Schizosaccharomyces pombe: one gene and its partners. Changing the gene in region 1 together with any one later gene gives a genetic interaction. Each region holds a gene or a part of one and is shown in the gene's direction. Other genes may lie near its edges.

Region 1 (4,809 bases):
TATGTATTTATTGAAGCAAACATCAAGAAATGGAGACTCGCTCCTGCGGTTGGAAGCTTGGCTCCTCCTCCGTCGTATTCTACATCGCAGCCAACTATTAGTTGGGATGCAGCTAGTGAGTCTTCAGCGGGTACAACAACGCAGGGCGATACAAATAGACCCGACAAATCGAAAAATAGGTCACCTCCAATAAATTTTGATGGTACCTCGTATGATGCGGCTGGTAATGTTTTCAGTCCATCATCATCCAACAATCAAGCTTATCAAATGCACTCCATGCCTGCTACCGATGAAGTATAAGGAGTAATGTATAGCTTAGCACTAACAACCTTCACGCCAAAACCAAAGATCAAGTTGTGGAAATGTTTGTGCGTTGTGTTTCAAGTTAGTCCTAAAATCGAGAAATGCACTTTGTATATGAATTGAAGGGGATGTGTTGATGTTCAATGTATTTATTTTCTTTATAATAATTTCTTCAAAATTAGTTATAATTATTAATCTTAATTAAATTTACTCTATGTTTATTCGCTCAATTAATAAAAGGTTATTCACAATTTATTATGATTTTTCGTATAATGTTGCTATTGAGTCTATACTGTTAACATCAACCTTCATCGAATTCCGCTGGTGAGAAGTTTTAACGGAGGAATTCATAGGGTTGTCAATCCTGATAATGAAAGTGTAAAAGGAAATTTTCGAAAGCGCTTTTTTACATTTCTAATTTTGCGTAGTGTCATAAAATGCAATTCCTGGTAAAAACAAAGCCGCTTAATTATTAGTCTTGTTATCTTTTGCTGTAATAAAAGGAAATCTACCTTTTTATTCCAAAGGAACAAATAAAGCAATTCGATACTGCAGTGTGACATTCTTTGTGAGTAAAAAAAAAAGGGAGTAAAACAGAGAACGTATTCAAGTAATATTCTGAGAATTGTTTCTATTTCAAACTTTTATAGCAAGTTTCCAATATGCCTTTAGGTATAGACTTAATTGAAAAAAGACCGATCATTATCAAAGGGAAAATTGGGATATATTGCTAATTAAAATATCTACCTAAAGGCTGCTATGCACCTATGATGATTTCTCTCCATAGACCAACAAAAAGTTCAATGGAAAGCAATTTCAGCGGCACATACAAAAGATTCTTCAAATAGGTAATTTAGGAATGTTTCTTTTGATTATCTTGCATAAAGGAAAAGGAGATCATATTTTGAAAGCTCTTACAACGATTACCACCCTCCCTAACTGATGCAAACTGGTTCTCAGCAGCACTGACTGGAACTATCTAAGTACTCTATGAAAAAGTAAGAGTTAGTTTAGCATAATCAGATAAAATGACTGGGACTTACGAATCCTCAAAGTCCGATAAAGAACCAAGTTCATACGGAAATCTATATTACACGAGGTTCAGTTTTTTGTATGTATAATGAATTATTATTTTAAAAAACATATTAGTGTCCGATAGTTTACAATTGTTTGCTAGTCGGTCTCTTAAAGAGAAGGGCATAAACTTCTGCCGACATTGTTAAACAAGCAACAAAACTTCCCCTCAGAAATGTTAAACGATAAAAAAAGGAAACCTCTGGAATTATATAAAAAATAGCTCTCTCTCTTCTCGTTACGTGACATTCTTTAAGGGTGTATATTGAACCTTCGGAAAAATTGCTCTCATAAGGAAGTGATACATGTCAAACGTGTTTCATCAAAGTCGCATTTTTTTTCTTAATATCTTACTTAAAGCAGCAAAGCATAACTTCGTTCCTCTCCACTTAACGACTTCCATCCTTTTATTTATTCATAGCATACTTCTTCACCAAGCGGGCACATGAATAAGGATAATTAACACACTACACTATACCCCGAGTTTCTCCACATTTCGAGCATCGTTTATCGTACCCTAAATCTACGGTAGTAAATGTATGCTTGTAATAAATATGACGTCAACCGACATGTTTTTGTAGACTAGTGCATGCACCGGAGATCTGTAACTCTCCATAAGCCTAGCCATGCATGCAGCACTCGAAATCAAAGAAGCTGAATTTCAAACCGATCAAGTAGTAGGACTCGTAGAAAATTCTTTTACATTATATTCATTGGTATGAAAAACGAAAAATATTTTTTTTTTTGAAGAATTTCGACTAACGTTAACGAAAACAGGGACAAAATGTAAGAATTCAAACATTATGCATTGAGAGCCATGCTGACTTATTAGGGGGGTCCATTGGAGTCTTGCTGTAGCAGTCATTTGATTTCTGATGGCGCATTTCAAGAAATTATATCGCTGGATGGTGGAAGCCACCTATCGGCGTTGGTTGAGTTGATCCAGTCAAAACACCTGTCCGTCGATTCTTGGTCTTCCATCACCAAGTATGACAATTATACGGTGGAAAATGAATCATACGCAAAAGCCTGGCACCTTTCAGAGCAAAGGATTAAAACGTTTCTCATCACACACTGTCATTTAGACCACATCTATGGAGCCGTCATCAATAGCGCCATGTTTGGTCCTCAAAATCCTAGAACCATAGTTGGGTTAAACTATGTGATCGATACCCTAAAAAAGCACGTGTTTAATAACTTATTATGGCCTTCCCTCGACAAAGCCGGATTTATTAATTTTCAGGTGTAAGTAAATTCTTTCTCAATAGCTTCTGTCAAATGAAAATTTTTTCATTGTTTTAGTGAATAGGTTGAGGGTTGGGAAGGCAATGTTGAGTTTTGAAAATTTTTTATTTTCTTCATCTTAGTTGAAGAGATGTATGCTCGTCTTTTTTTCCTTCAAATCTATTTGCTGAACACACATTTATATATTTTGCATATATGTAAACTATCTGCTGACGCTTTGGTTGATTTGCATGGTTTCATGGTACTTGTGCAATTTTTTTTGTGAGACAGTGATATTATTTGAAAGATTGCAAAGATTGCAATAATAATTATATCTCTTTTTCTTTCACTGTTCTAATATCTTTTGTTCTTGTTCAAACAAGTTAATGAATTTAACTCTTATGCGAATTTGCTAAATCAACCCCATCGGCATTTCTCTTTCTCATTTGACAATGAGACTAACCTCTTTTTAGGGTTGAGCCTTCCATGTATACTAGTTTAACGACTACTTTGTCTATATTGCCCTTTCCCGTTAATCATGGCTCCTCTTTCGGTCAAGAGCTAAAGTCGTCTGCATTTTTATTTAGGAATAACCTATCCGACAGATACTTTTTGGCTTTCGGGGACGTCGAACCCGATATGGTAGCCTCAGAACCGCTTAACATTCATATTTGGAGAGCTTGCTCTAGTTTAATTGCTCAAAGAAAGCTTTCTCATATTCTTATCGAATGCTCCACTCCTGACATCCCTGATACTCTTTTGTTTGGTCATTTTTGCCCTAGACATCTAGTGAACGAGCTTTGTATACTCCAATCTCTGGTCCAGAGTTATGGCGTTATCATGCCTACCCTTACGTGTTTGCTCACTCATTTGAAATCACATCCTCTTCAGTCGGCGAATCCTGCCGATGTTATATTGGAGCAGTTAGAGTCGTTGTCTTCCAAAAGTTCTCTTTCAGTCACATTTAAAATCCTTCAGCGTGGTCAATTTTATAAATTTTAATAGCATCCCAGGGTCATGGTCATATATTCATTATATTTTTATTTTTTTTTTTTAATTTCTTTTAGGTTTCTCCATTTATTCGTTACGCCCTTTTATCCTTCCGCCGTTGCCGCATGTCTTTCTATTATTGAGAATTCTGTTGGAGGAATTTTGACTTTGTTGTTAATTATTGAATGCTAAAGCAATTAATTATTACCTTTTTTTATTTTTCATTACCAGTTCATCGTACCTCGCTTTGCTGGTTTACTCTCATTAGAATTTCACGCTTTTCTCATCGGACACTTTATTTTCAAAAATAGAATGCTTTTTCTTTGTTTGCCAATCTGCTTTACTTTTTAAATAGATTTCTAATTTGGTTTTTTGTTGTTGTTGACGAGGTTTATAGAACGATGGGTTAAAAGTCTTAACCAGATTATATACTTGAATAAATGGGTTATATTATATGACGATTTCTCTGTTCTAATATTGTTTACCTAGAAACAAGAGGAAGCATTCCTAAAGGGTAGCGGGTATATTAGTTGAGTGATGAATCAATATAGGTTTGCTCTGCTTTTTTCGATTGGATAGACTAGGAAGTATTCTGGAGGGTATGAAAGGAACAAAGTGTTCTATTACAGTTGGTAATGGTCGACTCTTGATTACGATGTTTAATTTGGGATAGAAAAATGATTATTATTTCTAGTTATCGCATATGATCGTAGGAAAAGCACATTACAAAGGGGAAACGAACCAAAACGGATGCAATGATCATAAAGGGCGCTGGAATAGTAAATTAATATAACAAGCTAGTATTCTTCTTCTTTCCAAGTTGCATTCCTTTCGCTTTGGGAGCAGAAGAAGCCTTTGCTGCAGCGTGATAAGACTCCATGGCAGATTCGTCTTCAACATTAGACGTAGCAAAGGTTGTATTAACTGTTTGATACCCAATGGATTCATACGCATCTGCACTGGGAAGATTCTGAGCCGCCCGTCTTGCAGCTTCTTTCTTTTGTAATTCAAGTTGTTTGATGCGGCGCTTCCTTTCTTCAGTTGCTTCAATTTCTTTGTTCTAGAAAGTGCATTAGTAAAACCATACAAAAAAAATTTCGATGACTCCACCCCTATGCTTCAACACGTACTCTTGATACAATTTCTTGAATTTTCTCTTCGTGACTCTCCATTTCCAAATAAGTTTTGATCTGTGTCAAAGATACATTGTCTCTGTAG
Region 2 (7,305 bases), on another chromosome or scaffold:
TACAATATTGCCCATAGCGTTCTATAACTTCTGGTGGATCAATCGCAATCATTTTTCATTTCAAAGAATTACTAATTGGGTCTATAGAAAAATCATTTCTTTTTATTTCAGACTATTTTGTTTGTCATTGAATTTCCTACATTAGCTGCTCTGGTTTATTGTATCATTAACTTTTAACATAAAGAACCTCAACAAGTCATGCTAATTTGACATTATAGAATGTAAGTATATTAAATTATGATAAACTATTTATTGCAAAAGCAGGATGGATAGTACATTATAGAGCATAGAAATTGTTGCAAAGAAATCCACAGTTTATTATCTAAGATATTTACTTTATGGAGATATTAATTTAGAAGGCTCATAGCCGTATTTTTTTGCATTATAAGCCATTTGTTTCACTGGCTTTATATAGTCAATATGCGACTCATAAATTCATTAGAGTTATTCTCTCGCGAAAAATCATTGAAATGTGGGGCCTGATCATTGTTGTAGATTTAAGCAACATATAACCGAAGCTAATGAGAACAAATTGAAGCAGAGTTTTTCTGAATACCAAATACATTTTTGATACTCCAGGGTTGCAGAGTTTTTGCCTTCAGAGCCCATTGCAAGTATGTTCGGTTTCTAAGGGTTTCCTCACTTCATACATAGTTAGATTTGTTCCTCAATTCTTAATTTTTCGCTGACTTCGTGACGCTTTCTACTATAATCATGTTACAAACTAATATATAAACAAACTAGTGACCTTTAGGATTAAACGAGAGGCAAGCACAAACCACTTGTTCCATTCAAGTTACTGCAATATTTTTATGGAAGATATTAGAAAATTAGCAGAATACTCACCAAGTTTGTCACAATGCAAGACGATGGCAAAAGATCCTTAAGCTCATTCCATATTAAAAATGTCGTAAGTTAGTAAAATTTAAAAATAGTCAAGTCCTTCATTTTGAAGTTTTTTGTTTATTACTCGACCAAAAACAAATTGCCTTGCAATCGTTACCTTTTATGCTTTAGCACCTATAATTATCCTGTAGACAGAAATTACCTTTTATATAGCAAACATTATTATACCCAAATAATATTTAACATTGAAATCTTCATAAATAAATGAATAAAGTATGGTAAAATATTATTTACATCCCCCTATACAGCTATATGGCTCAACCTTTATACAGTAATAAAATGTCTAAGTAGTCCTGCATGTTATGATAGAAACACCCAAAGCCTTCACTCTAAACTTCAAGGAATTTACTGCTTGCTTTTGTCGTACACACTCCTATAGTAAGGCATCTTATATTCCATATGGATCCTCGACACTGGGGATGTAAGTACTGACTTGTAGTTTGAAATGGCAAGTCGGTCGTCTATATCGACATGATTTTATAACTAAATTCCTGTAAAAAAGAGAAACAAAAATGATATTTTAATGCATAAAACAATTTCCCGTTAGAGTATTTTTAATTATCAGTATTCCAAAAAAAAGATTTCTAGTCTTCAAATAAACCAATGCGTGATAAATACTGGAATTGGGGAATATAAAGATCCAAGTTAAATTTAATTGATTTTGTAAAAGCACTAAGTTCTGTAGGTTGACTTTTTAATTGTCTAGCTAACGTAAGTTTGGTAAGAGATGCTGGTTTGTTTACACTAGATATACGCTGACACTCAGATTTCACCTACAACTTCATGCTAAAAAGGAAATGCGAAATTGTAAACGGAACTGAGTTATTGATTATCGTTACTAGATGCTGAAATGCTAGAATTAAAAACAAATGTTATTCAAGACCCTGAATTAAAGGATTCATTAGATTTGCAAGAGAATGATCGGGTTGAAATCATTGGAGATGCTGTGCATTATATTGTGAATGACCATTTAAATCGTGTATTTAATTATACCGTAGATCAACAAAAGATACATGCTGCCCTTATTACTACATTTGCATCTGGAAAAAAGGCAATTGTTGTGATTCTGGACGACATTGGATATGTATACTATGTGGGCGACAATAATAATGATTCTTATATTATAAACGTTCCTTTTTCAACAGAAAGCGCATGGAGTTCACCAAGTGGACTATATCTTCAGCGTCATCGTTCGAGCGATGAGAATCTGAATACTGACTTGCCTCATATTTTTTGTCTAAACGATCCTTTAGATGAACTTACGTTAATAAAATTTGACGGAAAAAAAATACTATCTCTGTTTGATTCAATCGTTTATGTCGTGGGAGAGATCGTCGTAACACATAATAAAAAAGAAAAAAAATTGAGTTTTTGGAGGAGTCGCTTTATTGATCCAGAGTCAGACCAGTCAATAAAAAGCTCACGTAACAGAAGAAGGGAAAGCTCTTTTTCTCGTGAAAAGAATCCTGACTTAACTCGCTCTGATTCTATCCATTATACCGCCAATACTCGTCTTTCTGAAAAATTCGAGGAACAAGGACTCGCTTATTCGACCATATTTTCTCACATAGAGTCTTTTCCTATCACCGGAAGTACTTCGTTTGATTCAATCCTTGGAAATGGTGTTTTGGTCATCACCACTTTAGTGAAAGAGCTTGAAAAAGGCTACATGATGTTGTTTCGCCTTGTTCGTGACAGATCTCCTTACTTCTTAGATTCGCTTCAACTACATGCAATAAATTTGAGTGCTATTAAATCTAAGCATTTGCAAAAAATTGTTGTTCTGTCTTCAAAGGGGAAGGTGAGTCTCGAGTCTCCAATGTCGCCATCTTTGCCTATTGAGGGTACCTTTCGTTCATTTCGTGTGCATGGTGCCACACTTTACTTAGAGGACACCGATGGAGTGCAGAGGTATATATCTCTAGATAACAGAGCATCCAATAGCTTGGTAAAATGGTGTTTAAGTGTTATTCGTTATGTTTTGCCCTTGCGTGAATATGAAATTTTTTATACTGGACATCTTTACGCGCTTTTTGCTTTTAAGCTTAGCCATGATGAGGCTTTCATATCTTCAATACTCGCCTGTTTCACTTTCTTTTCTCGAGATAAAGTTCATGTTGAACCAATTGAAGATTGCAATGAAGCTTACAGTCTGTCCTCTAAGTTTCATTTTAAAAAAGAAATACTTATTGCTTCTCAGCTCTCATCTCATCTTGATTACTCAACATTCAAAAATTACTTGATGCCCTTAGCTATTACCTTACATTTTATATCTGAAGAATTGCGGTTGGATTCGGTTGTAAAGCCTCGTAAAGATCAGCTTGTAGCTTTATTACTTCAAATCACCACGTGGTTGAAGTGGCCACGGTATTGCGAGTATTATAACTTTGATATCGCTGAAACATTTCTATCTATACCCTTATCGATTCAAGTTGATGTTGAGGAACCTGTTGGTCCAACATCGATTTTACAGTGGATTATTGAATGTTTAAGGTCGCAATCTACAGTACCTTTTTATGGCTTGGAAAGTTATGGGCTACCACATTCTTGCTCTACTATGTTTCCCCAAACCCTTTCTTTAATGCAGTTACTCGATTGCTTGCTAAATCCTAATATGACCCTTCAAAACTTAGTTGAAGAAATGGTACGGTTAGGAATTTCAAGAAAGAGGTGTGAAAGATACCCATTTGGAATTTTATGCATTATTTTTACAGTACTCGAGATTGCCGCTGAAGAGTATTCTCCGAATTGGGAAAGCGAAGAGCTTCGATTAGTCAATCGCCTTGACGTTGATTCATTCTTACATCCAAAGACACCTAAATGGGTTTTTAATAAGCAGGATCAAGAAGTCAAAGAAATAAAAGCACTCACTAGTACAGTTACCGATTCTACACTTGTTGACACGCAGTCGTTTCATCCTTATAAGGTTGTAACGGATATGATTTTTAGAGAGGATCGACGACTGGCAGAAGTGAATAAACTTTTAAATTATTCAAGTCAAATCACCATAATGACTGAACACTTTGATGTCGACTTGAGTTCAGTACCAATGCAACAAAAAGTTGCTCAATGCATTTGCGTTAGAACATTGTCCGTGCCAATTGGAGCGGGTATGCTTACGTATGGTAGTAAAAATCCTTTACCTACGGAAAAGGTCACTCCACGATTATTTAATTTTACATTGCACTTGCATCCTGGAACTTTAATTATACAACCTAATAAAGAGTTCGTAACACAGGAATTAACCGAGTGGCCAGAGTTTAATGTTGGCGTTGCATTAGGATTATCGATATCTAAGTTTTCAAAGGAAATAAACACTAGTTGGATTATGTTCAATCGACCTGAAACTTTGACTGCTTACCATGCGGGATTTCTTTTTGGTCTAGGGCTAAACGGTCATTTAAAGGCCCTTGCTACCTGGCATTCTTTTATTTATCTTACTAGCAAGCATGATACAACCAGTATAGGCCTTTTACTTGGACTTGCATCCTCGTATTTGGGGAGTATGGATGCAAAGGTTACAAAATTGCTAAGTGTGCACATTTCAGCATTACTGCCAGTTGGATCTAATGAATTGAATATTTCACCATTAACTCAGACTGCAGGAATTCTAGGAATTGGTTTATTATTTCATGATTCGTGTCATAGACGCATGTCTGAAGTGACCATGGAAGAGATTTTGGCTTCTAATGAAAGCGAACTAAAGAATGAAGGCTATAAGTTAGCTGCTGGATTTTCTCTTGGTTTAATTAATTTAGGGAGAGGATCTAATCTTCCAGGCATGTCTGATTTAAAACTCGTTTCAAGGCTACAAGTGGGAATATCTAGTCAGGCTACATTTCAGTCTTTAGAAGCCGGTTCTCCCGGGGCCATTATGGCTTTGACTATGATATATATGAAGACTAATGATTTGGAAGTTGCGAAAAAAATTGATATTCCTAAATCGCGATATCTTCTTGATTTCTATCGTCCAGATCTAATACTTTTGCGAGTTGCCGGTAAAAACTTAATTATGTGGGATGAAGTCAAAGCAGATTATGAATGGGTGAAATATCAAATTCCTGATATAATGCTCTCACAATTTGATTTACAGGAAAAAAAGGTTCTCTCTTCTGACGACTTGCTGCTTTATAATGTCTTAGCAGGGATTTGTTTTTCTTTAGGTTTAAGGTTTGCTGGAACGGGTAATCCGAAAGCCAAGGAAATTCTCATCAACTTTTTAGATAGCTTCATTCGGTTGTGTCATCTGCCTGCTAAAACACACGATGAAAGAGTAACTGCAGTGACTGTAATTCGCTGTACACAAATTGTCGCTTTGTCTTCTTCTTGTGTTATGGCGGGTTATTGTGATCTAGATGTTTTGAGAAGGTTAAGAGTACTACATGGGAGAATGGAGCCTGTGAACTACGGGGCTCAAATGGCTACTCATATGGCGCTCGGAATTCTTTCGCTAGGTGGAGGAAGGTATAGTTTGTCTCGCAGTAATTTAGCAATCGCGGCTTTGTTAATATCATTTTATCCGCAATTTCCCAGGACTACTCAAGATAATCGTGCACATTTGCAAGCTGCTCGAAATTTGTGGGCTTTAGCTGTGGAAGAACGTTGTATTATCCCGAGAAATCAAGATACCAAACAGCCATGCATAGTGCCATTAAATGTTGTTCAAAAAAGCGGCGCAGTTCAAAAACTAGAAGCGCCTATACTTTTGCCGCCGTACGATAGCATTAGTTCAGTGTCGACGTTGGGTGATAAGTATTGGAATTTAAAAATTGATTTGGACAATAACAGTGATTACCGTGAACTATTAAGGGAATCACAAACACTGACACTGATGCCTTATGACCGAACAAGTTCAAAAGAAGAGCCACTTAATCTATTCCCTAAGCTTAAAGATACCTCAAGCCCACTTTGGAACTTGGTAAAAACAAGCAGGTTGTTCCAAAGCTCGAATAGCCCCTTAAACGTTGCATCGTTACAAGAATCAAATAATAAAACTTCTCTAGGCGTTAAATTACTCCTGTCTATGGACTTTGATAATTTAACTAGAGACCGTTTATTAAGTTTGCAAATACTGTTACAATTTTTTGAGTCTTGTTGGACTGGTGTGCTCTTGAATAAGTTTCACTCCCGTCAATATCTTTTCCTTTCTCGTGATTTGGTAGAAGATTTGAGTTTGAGAGTATGGGAGTATGTGTATTCTCATAATCATAATGAAGAATCTGTATAATTATGAACTACGTTTATTAATTATATGATATGCTAATGGGCTGAATGGTTTCCAAAAATCTTTTCCATCATATCAATCCTTCAAAAGGAAAATTGAAGTTTAAAAAAATAGAACCCCTTAAAATTAACGACTTGTATAAATACCTTAATGTCTCAATTAATATACAAGGTGGCATATCCAATGCAACACTTTTTTCACGATCATGATTAATAGCTATCTTCAAATAATGGTTTGTTAAAAGGAAATCGAAGTTAATAATAAATTGTTAATTGGAATACTGATGCTCAAACTATTTCACTGGGCAAAGTAAAAAGAATATTATTGCGACAACTACTAAGCACCCATGGTTCTTCAAGGGGTAATACCGCCTGTCTCAAGGCGCCGTTGAAAATAGATTAGCTTTTTTATCCTTTTTCTATATCTTTTCCCTCCTTTCGTTAATTAATTGATTTAAGCATGACACTTCGAGCTACTAACTAACACTATATCGTTGTATGCTGTTTACATAAGTTCTTGATGTTCGAATCTATGACTTTCGAGTAACGGTTCCAAATATTATAATTTAATGAATTACACCCGATAATTAATACACTGTATTAAACCATCTAAATCCACCTGACGAATTCAATCTTAAAATTTAAATAGAAGTCTTTAAATCCGACATGCACTGAGATGCTGAAGTTTTGTAACGATCTACATTAAATTCCCCTATTATAATTTACGTACGATTATTCGCCTCATTAAAAATTCCTTCGTTTTTGAGGGGTAGTAAGGGCATGACTTCAACCTTGCATCCTATGACACAACACTTCTTTCGTTAGCAAAACACAAATTGAAGCTTGCGAACGCATAGGAAGTGTGAATAGCTCGTTTCTCGAAAGCCGCTAATTCTACAAAAGCTTTCTGTATCAAAAAGACTTGTAGTTTTACTTAATACACCTTTGGTTCTGCGCTAAGAGTGAAAGGCTCAGTATTGTTGTGAAAACCGTGAATCTGTAACGTCGGTTTATGTTAATTTGTATTTTTGAACGCTTGCTATAACTATTGTTATCTATTTTTGTCTGCTATAGATTATCTTTGAAGGACTCAGAGTCGATTTAGCTTATCTTCTTATTTTTTGTCTCAGGTGTATCGAATTATCGTTCGTGTTCATTTGTACTTTTGGAATAACA
Region 3 (7,754 bases), on another chromosome or scaffold:
TAAGGATTTTATCTGAATCTATCAAAACTTATACTTTGTTATGTGCACATGATTCACAGAAGCGTATTGGGGGTTCAATTCAAGAGTTTGAATTTATTAGTTTCTGCCAACAAAAAAGGATATTTGGGCGACTATTGCCCTCTCTAGATTCACCGGTTACCAAATCTATTACTGATGATAGAGTTGAGCCGTTACTTGTGAAGGATACATTTCGAGAATTCGCCGAAGCCAGTGTCTCTGGTTTATTATCATGTGACGAATCGTTTCACTACTTGACGCAATTATACTATACTGCCGATATAGTTCGAAACTTATGGATTCTTTTGTCACAAAGAAACTCTTTACTGAAATGTATGGAATCAGTTGAATTTGAAGCCTTTGACTATGAGCAGCTAAAGGGGTTTGAGCACTTAGTTATCCAAATTTGGAAAAGTCTTCGTGTCGACGGAGCAGGATTAATCAATTTTGATTGTTGTACGGAGGATGATCTAAATAATCCTCATCTTTTGTTTACACTGTATAAACTATTGGAAAGGTTTTCTCTAATCTTCCTTCGAAAATGTGCTTTGCTTTGGTATTGCCGCTATGGAGTTTCATTTGAGACGCAACCGAATTTAAACTTTCAAAATTCAGAATTATCACGTTTACAAACAAAAATGCATATTCCAGGTGTTATTGAATTATCTAATCATCTTTGTCTTACGGCATCTTCCACAGAATGGAGCCTTATAAAGCACTGGTGTAATTTCTTTACAGAGACTGGTCCTCTATGCGATTTTCCTCGCGCTTATTACCCTGGAATTTATGAACTAGTTTCTTTACCGTATGAATTGGATAAAGTCTTTGAGTTACTATTGGCCAGGCGATGCTCGAAATGTTTAACTGAACCTATGGAACCAGCGATATGTTTATTTTGTGGGAAGCTCTTATGCTTCCAAAGTCATTGTTGTTCCTTTAATGGTATTGGAGAATGTAATCTTCATATGCAACAATGCGCTTCTGACATTGGAATTTTTCTTATTGTCAAAAAATGCGCTATTCTCTACCTCAATCCACCTGTAGGAAGCTTCTCTGTAGCTCCATTTTTGGATGCGTATGGAGAGACAGATTTGGGATTGCGTCGTGGCCGCTCTCAATATCTATCACAAAAACGTTATGATGAAACAGTACGAACGATGTGGCTAAACGGATCTATTCCTTCTTATATTGCTCGACAACTGGATGCGAATCCAGACACCGGAGGTTGGGAAACACTTTAGGCTAAACAATGGGAGTTTACGTGATCTAAGCTACTAATTTTTTTAATGCTTCAAACACCTTGATTATTTATTAGGATATATATACCAAAACTTGACATTTTATCATTTAATTCATATTCATTGACCTGTAAATATAGGTTACTTTACAAACATTTCGTCTCATTCAAACAGTCAATCGTATTGCCCTTATATTTAAGGGGCGAGTATCATTTAAGGATAAAATTAGATGAAAGTTTCATGAATACTTTAAAACTCAGTTTGAAACTTTGATAAAAGAAGCTTTTTTAACTCATCAGTCAAATCCAATGTTAATTAATGGAAGGAGTAATGGAAAGCCTTCAAAAAAAAAAATAAAAAAATCATAGTAATTAATTCAAGACCGCCTTCATCTAGTATATTCAGTAGATTTGTTTACAAATCGATGAAATAGTGACGTACGCAGTATTCGAACGCGCCTTACAGTTTCTTCCTCACTAATTCACTGAGAACACATAGTGTTGGAAATTACCACTCTGGAATATAGTTTAGAGTTAGGAAGATACATGAGGTGTTGGAACCCAAACCCTTTCTTGTTCTAAACCTAACAAGTGATATAATCAGACAAAGAAACGCTGGTGTTGGAACTAGGATAATAGAGCAAATACTAGTTCTATAAATTCAATATTCCTTCCTTGGATAGGGATATAACCATTATTGAATTTTCCTTGTCCAAAATTCGCGTATAGTGGTATTTTTGAAACGAAGGTGCTACAGATTCTTAGGAAGGATGCAAATTGCCACTAATGGATCAAAGCAAGCGATTGTTAAAGTCAGCTGTTCCAAACCCGCCTGAACATTTTAAAACAGGTATATCCTGGCTTGATGACCTTGACGAGAAGGACGATGACTCAGCGACGTCTGTGAACTATGATATACCAGAAATAACCGAAGCAAATCTCTGTAATGACTCCCATGAAGCTCTTTCACCTTGCACTCAACCTGTCGGTAATTCTGGACGACCTGTCGAAGCTTTTAAGACCTATCCTAGCACTCCTGCAGTACCTAGCAAAAGCGTGCTTTTCCATTTTTATGAACCGGATGAGAACTTTAGCTTATCTGACACGGGACGTACTAAATCGGATACCGCCTTAGCTGCAAGAGAAAGCTCTGAAAAGTCTGAAGTGCCACGTGATACCCGTAGTGCTGGGATAAAGCCATACAAAGAAAATAACTCGTCTAATTGTGCAATTTCTAAAGAAGCAGGCCTTCGAAGACTTATTGATAAGGACAGAGAATCTTTCGACAAAAACCTGAATCAGTCATTTACCAATCTAACTTTTCCAGAACCGATTTCTGATGACAGTGACAGTGTGGAGTTTCAACGTGATTCTCTTAATAACAATTGGCCAGCTAGTTTGGAAGGTAGCATACACGAATTACCCAGGAATAGTGATGATGATGGAATCCCTGCTTCTGCGGCTCATATCCTGGACCTCGATTATCATAGAGATAGTTATGATAGCCCTTGGAAGAAGTTTTTACCGTACCCTTCCATTTTATCCGATGATTCTTGGAAAGCTCCGGAGAGTTGGGGAACTAGTTTGCCCACTGAGGCTATTCCAAAGCAGGTTTTTACTACTAGATTTTTTGCTCGTCCTTCCCTGGGCAATAGAAAGAAAGAGTTCTTTCTTCGAGTATACCGTGATGATCGAACTTCCGTATCATTCATTTGCCCTATTGGCATACAAACTCATGAAGTGATTAAGCTGTTAGCAAGGTTATTTTTTCTTCCCTCGTCTGCTAATTTTTACCTCTTATTAATCCAATTCAATACAGAACGTATTTTGTTGCCTCATGAACAGCCATGCATTATATTTGAACGATTATTGAGTTTGTTTGGGTGTAAGGTAACTTCCGATGAAGAAATAAATGAAGAAGATAATTATAGTGTTGCTAGATTGGTGTTTACTACGATGGATATTGGAGCGGATGTATTGCGTAAATTCTCTGAAAAAAAAATTACTGCGAACCTTGACATTAGTAGGTCAAACCTGGAGGTTATTCCGGTAAAGATCTATCCCTATGCCCATGAACTTATCTCGTTGAATGTTTCGCACAATTTATCGCTGGACCTGCCTTTAGATTTCATGGAGCGCTGTGTCAAGCTTAAGCGGTTAGACATTTCCAATAATTTAAGGTCTCCAAGAGGAAAACCGATTACTGCTCTTCGCCAATTGGAAGTTTTGAACATGTCTCGTAACGATATATATGAATTGGATCCTCTTATATTCTCTGGGCTTAGTCGAAATTCTCTGAAAGAATTGAATATAGCTAATAATAAGCTGTTCTTCCTTCCCCATTCTACTAGATATTTGGTGAATCTAACCTATCTTGATTTATCCTACAATAATTTTGTGACTTTCCCTTTAATAATTACTGAGTTGTCCCAATTGGAGACTCTTAACTTTTCGCATAATTTATTGTCACAGATATCTAGCAAAATTGGCTCTCTTGTTAAATTGAAGCATCTATATCTACAATTTAATGATTTATCTAATCGGCTTCCACAGGAAATAGGCTTGCTAAAAAATCTGGAAACAATTGACCTTAGTTATAATGCGATTACTAACATCGCCAGTTTATCTGAATGTCCGAAACTAAATAGCATCAATGTAGCTTGCAATTTACTTTCTTTTTACGAATATTCCAATCCGTCAGCTACATTCATCGACTTCTCGTTTTGTCCACTGACTACAATTGATCCGGCATTTAGCTATAGCAATCTCGTCTACTTTGATATCTCACATGCGAAGCTTATTGGGCTCAAGGATTCTGTCATTGAAACTTTAGTAAATGTAGAAACAGTGAAAGTGAATTACAACCACTTTACTAGCATTTCCGATGCAATTTCTGCTATGCAAAATTTGAAATATTTGTCTTGCACGAACTGTGAAATGTCTTATGTTTCACCAAACCTTGGCAAATTAAAGCATTTAGTTCACCTGGATTTACATGCAAATAATATCAAAATATTCCCTGAGGAAGTATGGCAAGTCTCTTCACTAAAAGTTGTTAACCTGTCTTCCAATATCCTGGAGAAAATCAAGTTACCAGTTGCAACGTCAAAAAAATTAACTAGGACAATTAGCCAATTAAAAATCATGCGTACTTTATCAGGAAATCCGGTATCGAGCCTCTCCTCCCAAGAATTTGTTATGCCTACCGTTGAAGAATTATACTTGGTGGACAACAGATTGGGCAATGACTGTTTTACGGCTTTAGAATACTTTAAGTGTTTAAAAGTCTTAAATTTATCTTACAATTATTTAACGGAAATTCCAAGCAAGTTTTTCCAAAATTTTTCTGATCTTAAACACCTTTTTGTGTCAGGAAATGAGCTTGCAAATCTTTCCATTTCCAGTACAGCGCAGGTCCTACTTGAAACTTTGTACGCGAATGGAAATCGTCTTTCCTCTTTTCCTAAAAATGAAGCTTTGTCTAAAAGTTTAAGATTTTTGGACATAAGTACCAATAATCTGCAGAATTTAGCAGTAGAAAAAGCTGAAAAGAAGAGTTTAACTAAACTTCCTCAATTGGAATACCTTAATCTATCTGGTAACACATGGTTTCGATTCTCTGAGCATGAAGATACAAACTTTACAAAATCATATTTGAAGAATTTAAAGTTTTTGAGCATCATGGATTTGAATACAAAATTTTCTAATGCGCCTTCTGATGTTCTAAACCATTTTATTCAACGCAACTCTCCTCAACCTAACATTTTGAGGTATGGAGTATGTGGATACCTTTCTCGTTCTATTCCCGTCATCTCTGCATGTGAATTAGTTGTTAACAACTTTTTGCATCCTCAATCATCTTTATACTGTGTGCTTGACAGTGACATCAGCGCTGGAAAAAACAACCGGGTTTTAAAATTTGTGTACGACAATTTGGCTTCATGCCTAGCGCATGAGATTAATGCAGCAGATTCCTCTTCTGAACAAATTTGTAACGCTTTGAGAAGAGGATTTCTTCGTTTAAACAAAAAATTAGGAAATGTCATTCATTATGACCTTAGGAAGTCTTCAGAAGGAGACGTGGATAGTAATTACGTTACCACTATGAATATTTCAGAAAAGGGTTATTCTATGGACAGTTCTTGCTTGGATATAGGAGTTAGCATTATCTTAGTGTACGTCAGGGATACAAGAGCTTTCGTTGCCAATGTGGGCACATCAATGGCTATAATGTCTACGAGAAATGATTCGGAACCTACAACTTTAAGTGTCATGCATGATGTGTACAATAGGGATGAAATTCGTCGCATAGTTGATTCATGTGGTTTCATATCTGGTGAAATAAAATCGACCACTACACGTGCTATTGGTCGTTTGTCTCAATTTCCTGGCGTCCAAGCAGTTCCCTATGTTAATGTGCAGTACTTATCTGAACTAAACGAATTTATCATTCTAGCAAATCAGGAATTTTGGAGCGTATTATCAAAACGCACAGTAATTGACGTTGTTCGTGCCAACAGACATTCTCCTCTATTAGCCTCTACGAAGCTACGTGACTATGCTATTGCATATGGTGCAGAAAAAAATGTTCTTGTAGTTATCGTCGAATTGAACGGATTGTTTGAAGAGAATTCCCTTAATTTCAACCAACTACGGGGGGATGAAAAAACTTTAGCAATTTCTGAAAAGAACGATAATATGTCATTTGTCCAAGATTTACCCGATGATTCTTCTTTAGCACGAATGAATAGAGAAGTCTCTCCCCCGAAAGGTTGTATTGCCATGGTTTTTACTGATATTAAGAATTCCACATTATTGTGGGAAAGACATCCTATTGCAATGAGATCTGCGATCAAAACTCATAATACTATTATGCGTCGGCAACTCCGTGCAACTGGAGGCTATGAAGTAAAAACCGAAGGAGATGCGTTTATGGTTTGTTTTCAAACAGTTCCTGCTGCATTACTTTGGTGTTTTTCAGTACAATTACAGTTACTTTCGGCAGATTGGCCCAACGAAATAGTTGAGTCAGTGCAAGGACGGTTGGTACTCGGCTCAAAAAATGAGGTGTTATATCGAGGGCTTAGTGTTCGAATTGGTGTCAATTATGGTGTAACCGTGAGTGAACTAGATCCCATCACTAGACGTATGGACTATTACGGGCCTGTAGTAAACAGAACATCTAGGGTTGTATCAGTCGCTGATGGTGGTCAAATTGCTGTTTCTGCTGAGGTGGTATCTGTATTGAATCAGCTTGATTCAGAAACAATGTCATCAGAGAAGACGAATGTCAACGAAATGGAAGTTCGTGCTCTTAAACAAATCGGTTATATTATCCATAACCTTGGAGAATTTAAGTTAAAAGGTTTGGATACTACTGAAATGATTTCATTGGTTTATCCTGTGCAATTGCAAGGAAGACTGGAGAGATTGATAAAGAGCCGAAGTTTGGGAACACCCACAGCCCTCCCGGAAACTCAGACTTATACTCCCGTTCGTAGTAGAAGCAACAGCTTGCGACCCATGTTAGCAAGATTGAGTGATTCAAAATCTGTCCATGGAGAGGAGGGTGGTTCTGGGAAGAGATCGGTTTCATCCTTGCGCAACGTATCACCATCAGAGAGTACTGGTGGATATGAAGGTTGTATTTTTGATGACCAACAGTATCAATTACTTTATGAACTTTGTGAGCGTCTTGAAGACCATGCCGCTATACTGCATGGGTTTCCTGAACCACCGCCTTGCGATACCGGTCTGGCAGCTCCCGTAAACCAGGCCGAGGAGTATTCATTGTTCTACCGTCTGACTTTGCGTATCGAGAATACTATTTATTGTGTCAGTCAAATGCTTGGACACACTGGCTAAATGAATGCATATAATGACTGCTATATTTAAATAATGTTTAACCCCATAAATAGTTTATATATATATATTTATTTTTTGTATATATAATTTGCATATTTTTAATAAAATTTTTTTTTTTTTTGCTATACCCTAAAGTTGGAATTATGGAATACCAAATTAACGTACGTGTTTCGAGGCAAATCAACTTTTATTTACTATTAGTAAACAATAAGAAACTGAACAACGGAACGACAGTAGACTGATACAAAAGTAAAAAAAAAGAAAAATTGTATTAAAGAAATACGAAATAAAATAATTTTCATGCAAAATGGTATAGGAGTAAAAAAACACAATGGGGGAAACTCGGTATAACACTTGATAACAATGTAAACCCCAAATAAAGATAAAAAAAAATGCAAAATAGAAGAAAAATGAAAAAGAAATCGTAAGAGTAAGATCGTAACTAAACTAAAAATACAGCAAAAAAATTTGGAAAGAATGAAGCAATAAAAATACTAAATAAACAAAATTGGAATCAAAACACTTGACAGCCCGGTATAAAAAAACTTGAGAAATGAAAGATAGAAAAAAAATAAGGAAAAAGACGGAGCTTCAACAATAGTAGTCTAAAGCCTAGAATGACGAGAAGATGTCT

What was found.
Region 2: of cgs2 (region 1) and cut4, extra expression of one rescues a mutant of the other (dosage rescue), as found in Schizosaccharomyces pombe (one study listed by BioGRID).
Region 3: of cgs2 (region 1) and cyr1, a mutation in one rescues a mutant of the other (synthetic rescue), as found in Schizosaccharomyces pombe (2 studies listed by BioGRID, with this or other methods).

The regions. Positions count from the first base shown.
Region 1 is NC_003421.2:1,809,826-1,814,634, reverse strand, and holds cgs2 (dual-specifity cAMP/cGMP phosphodiesterase Cgs2), read left to right. Parts: upstream 1-1,991; 5' UTR 1,992-2,003; coding exon 2,004-2,093; exon of another isoform or gene 2,094-2,154; coding exon 2,155-2,163; exon of another isoform or gene 2,164-2,209; coding exon 2,210-2,622; exon of another isoform or gene 2,623-3,074; coding exon 3,075-3,603; 3' UTR 3,604-4,298; downstream 4,299-4,809. Other genes in the region: SPRY domain membrane protein, specificity factor required for ubiquitination Ear1, read left to right, coding at 1-300; coatomer delta subunit Ret2, read right to left, coding at 4,376-4,651, 4,722-4,809.
Region 2 is NC_003423.3:389,233-396,537, forward strand, and holds cut4 (anaphase-promoting complex platform subcomplex scaffold subunit Apc1), read left to right. Parts: upstream 1-1,677; 5' UTR 1,678-1,756; coding exon 1,757-6,133; 3' UTR 6,134-6,805; downstream 6,806-7,305. UniProt on the Schizosaccharomyces pombe protein: Component of the anaphase-promoting complex/cyclosome (APC/C), a cell cycle-regulated E3 ubiquitin-protein ligase complex that controls progression through mitosis and the G1 phase of the cell cycle.
Region 3 is NC_003423.3:2,817,967-2,825,720, forward strand, and holds cyr1 (adenylate cyclase), read left to right. Parts: upstream 1-1,835; 5' UTR 1,836-2,041; coding exon 2,042-7,120; 3' UTR 7,121-7,254; downstream 7,255-7,754. Other genes in the region: N-end-recognizing protein, UBR ubiquitin-protein ligase E3 Ubr1, read left to right, coding at 1-1,259; SPOM_SPBC19C7.04C (uncharacterized protein), read right to left, coding at 7,726-7,754. UniProt on the Schizosaccharomyces pombe protein: Acts in glucose-induced cAMP signaling by catalyzing the synthesis of the second messenger, cAMP to activate PKA signaling and repress sexual development and gluconeogenesis.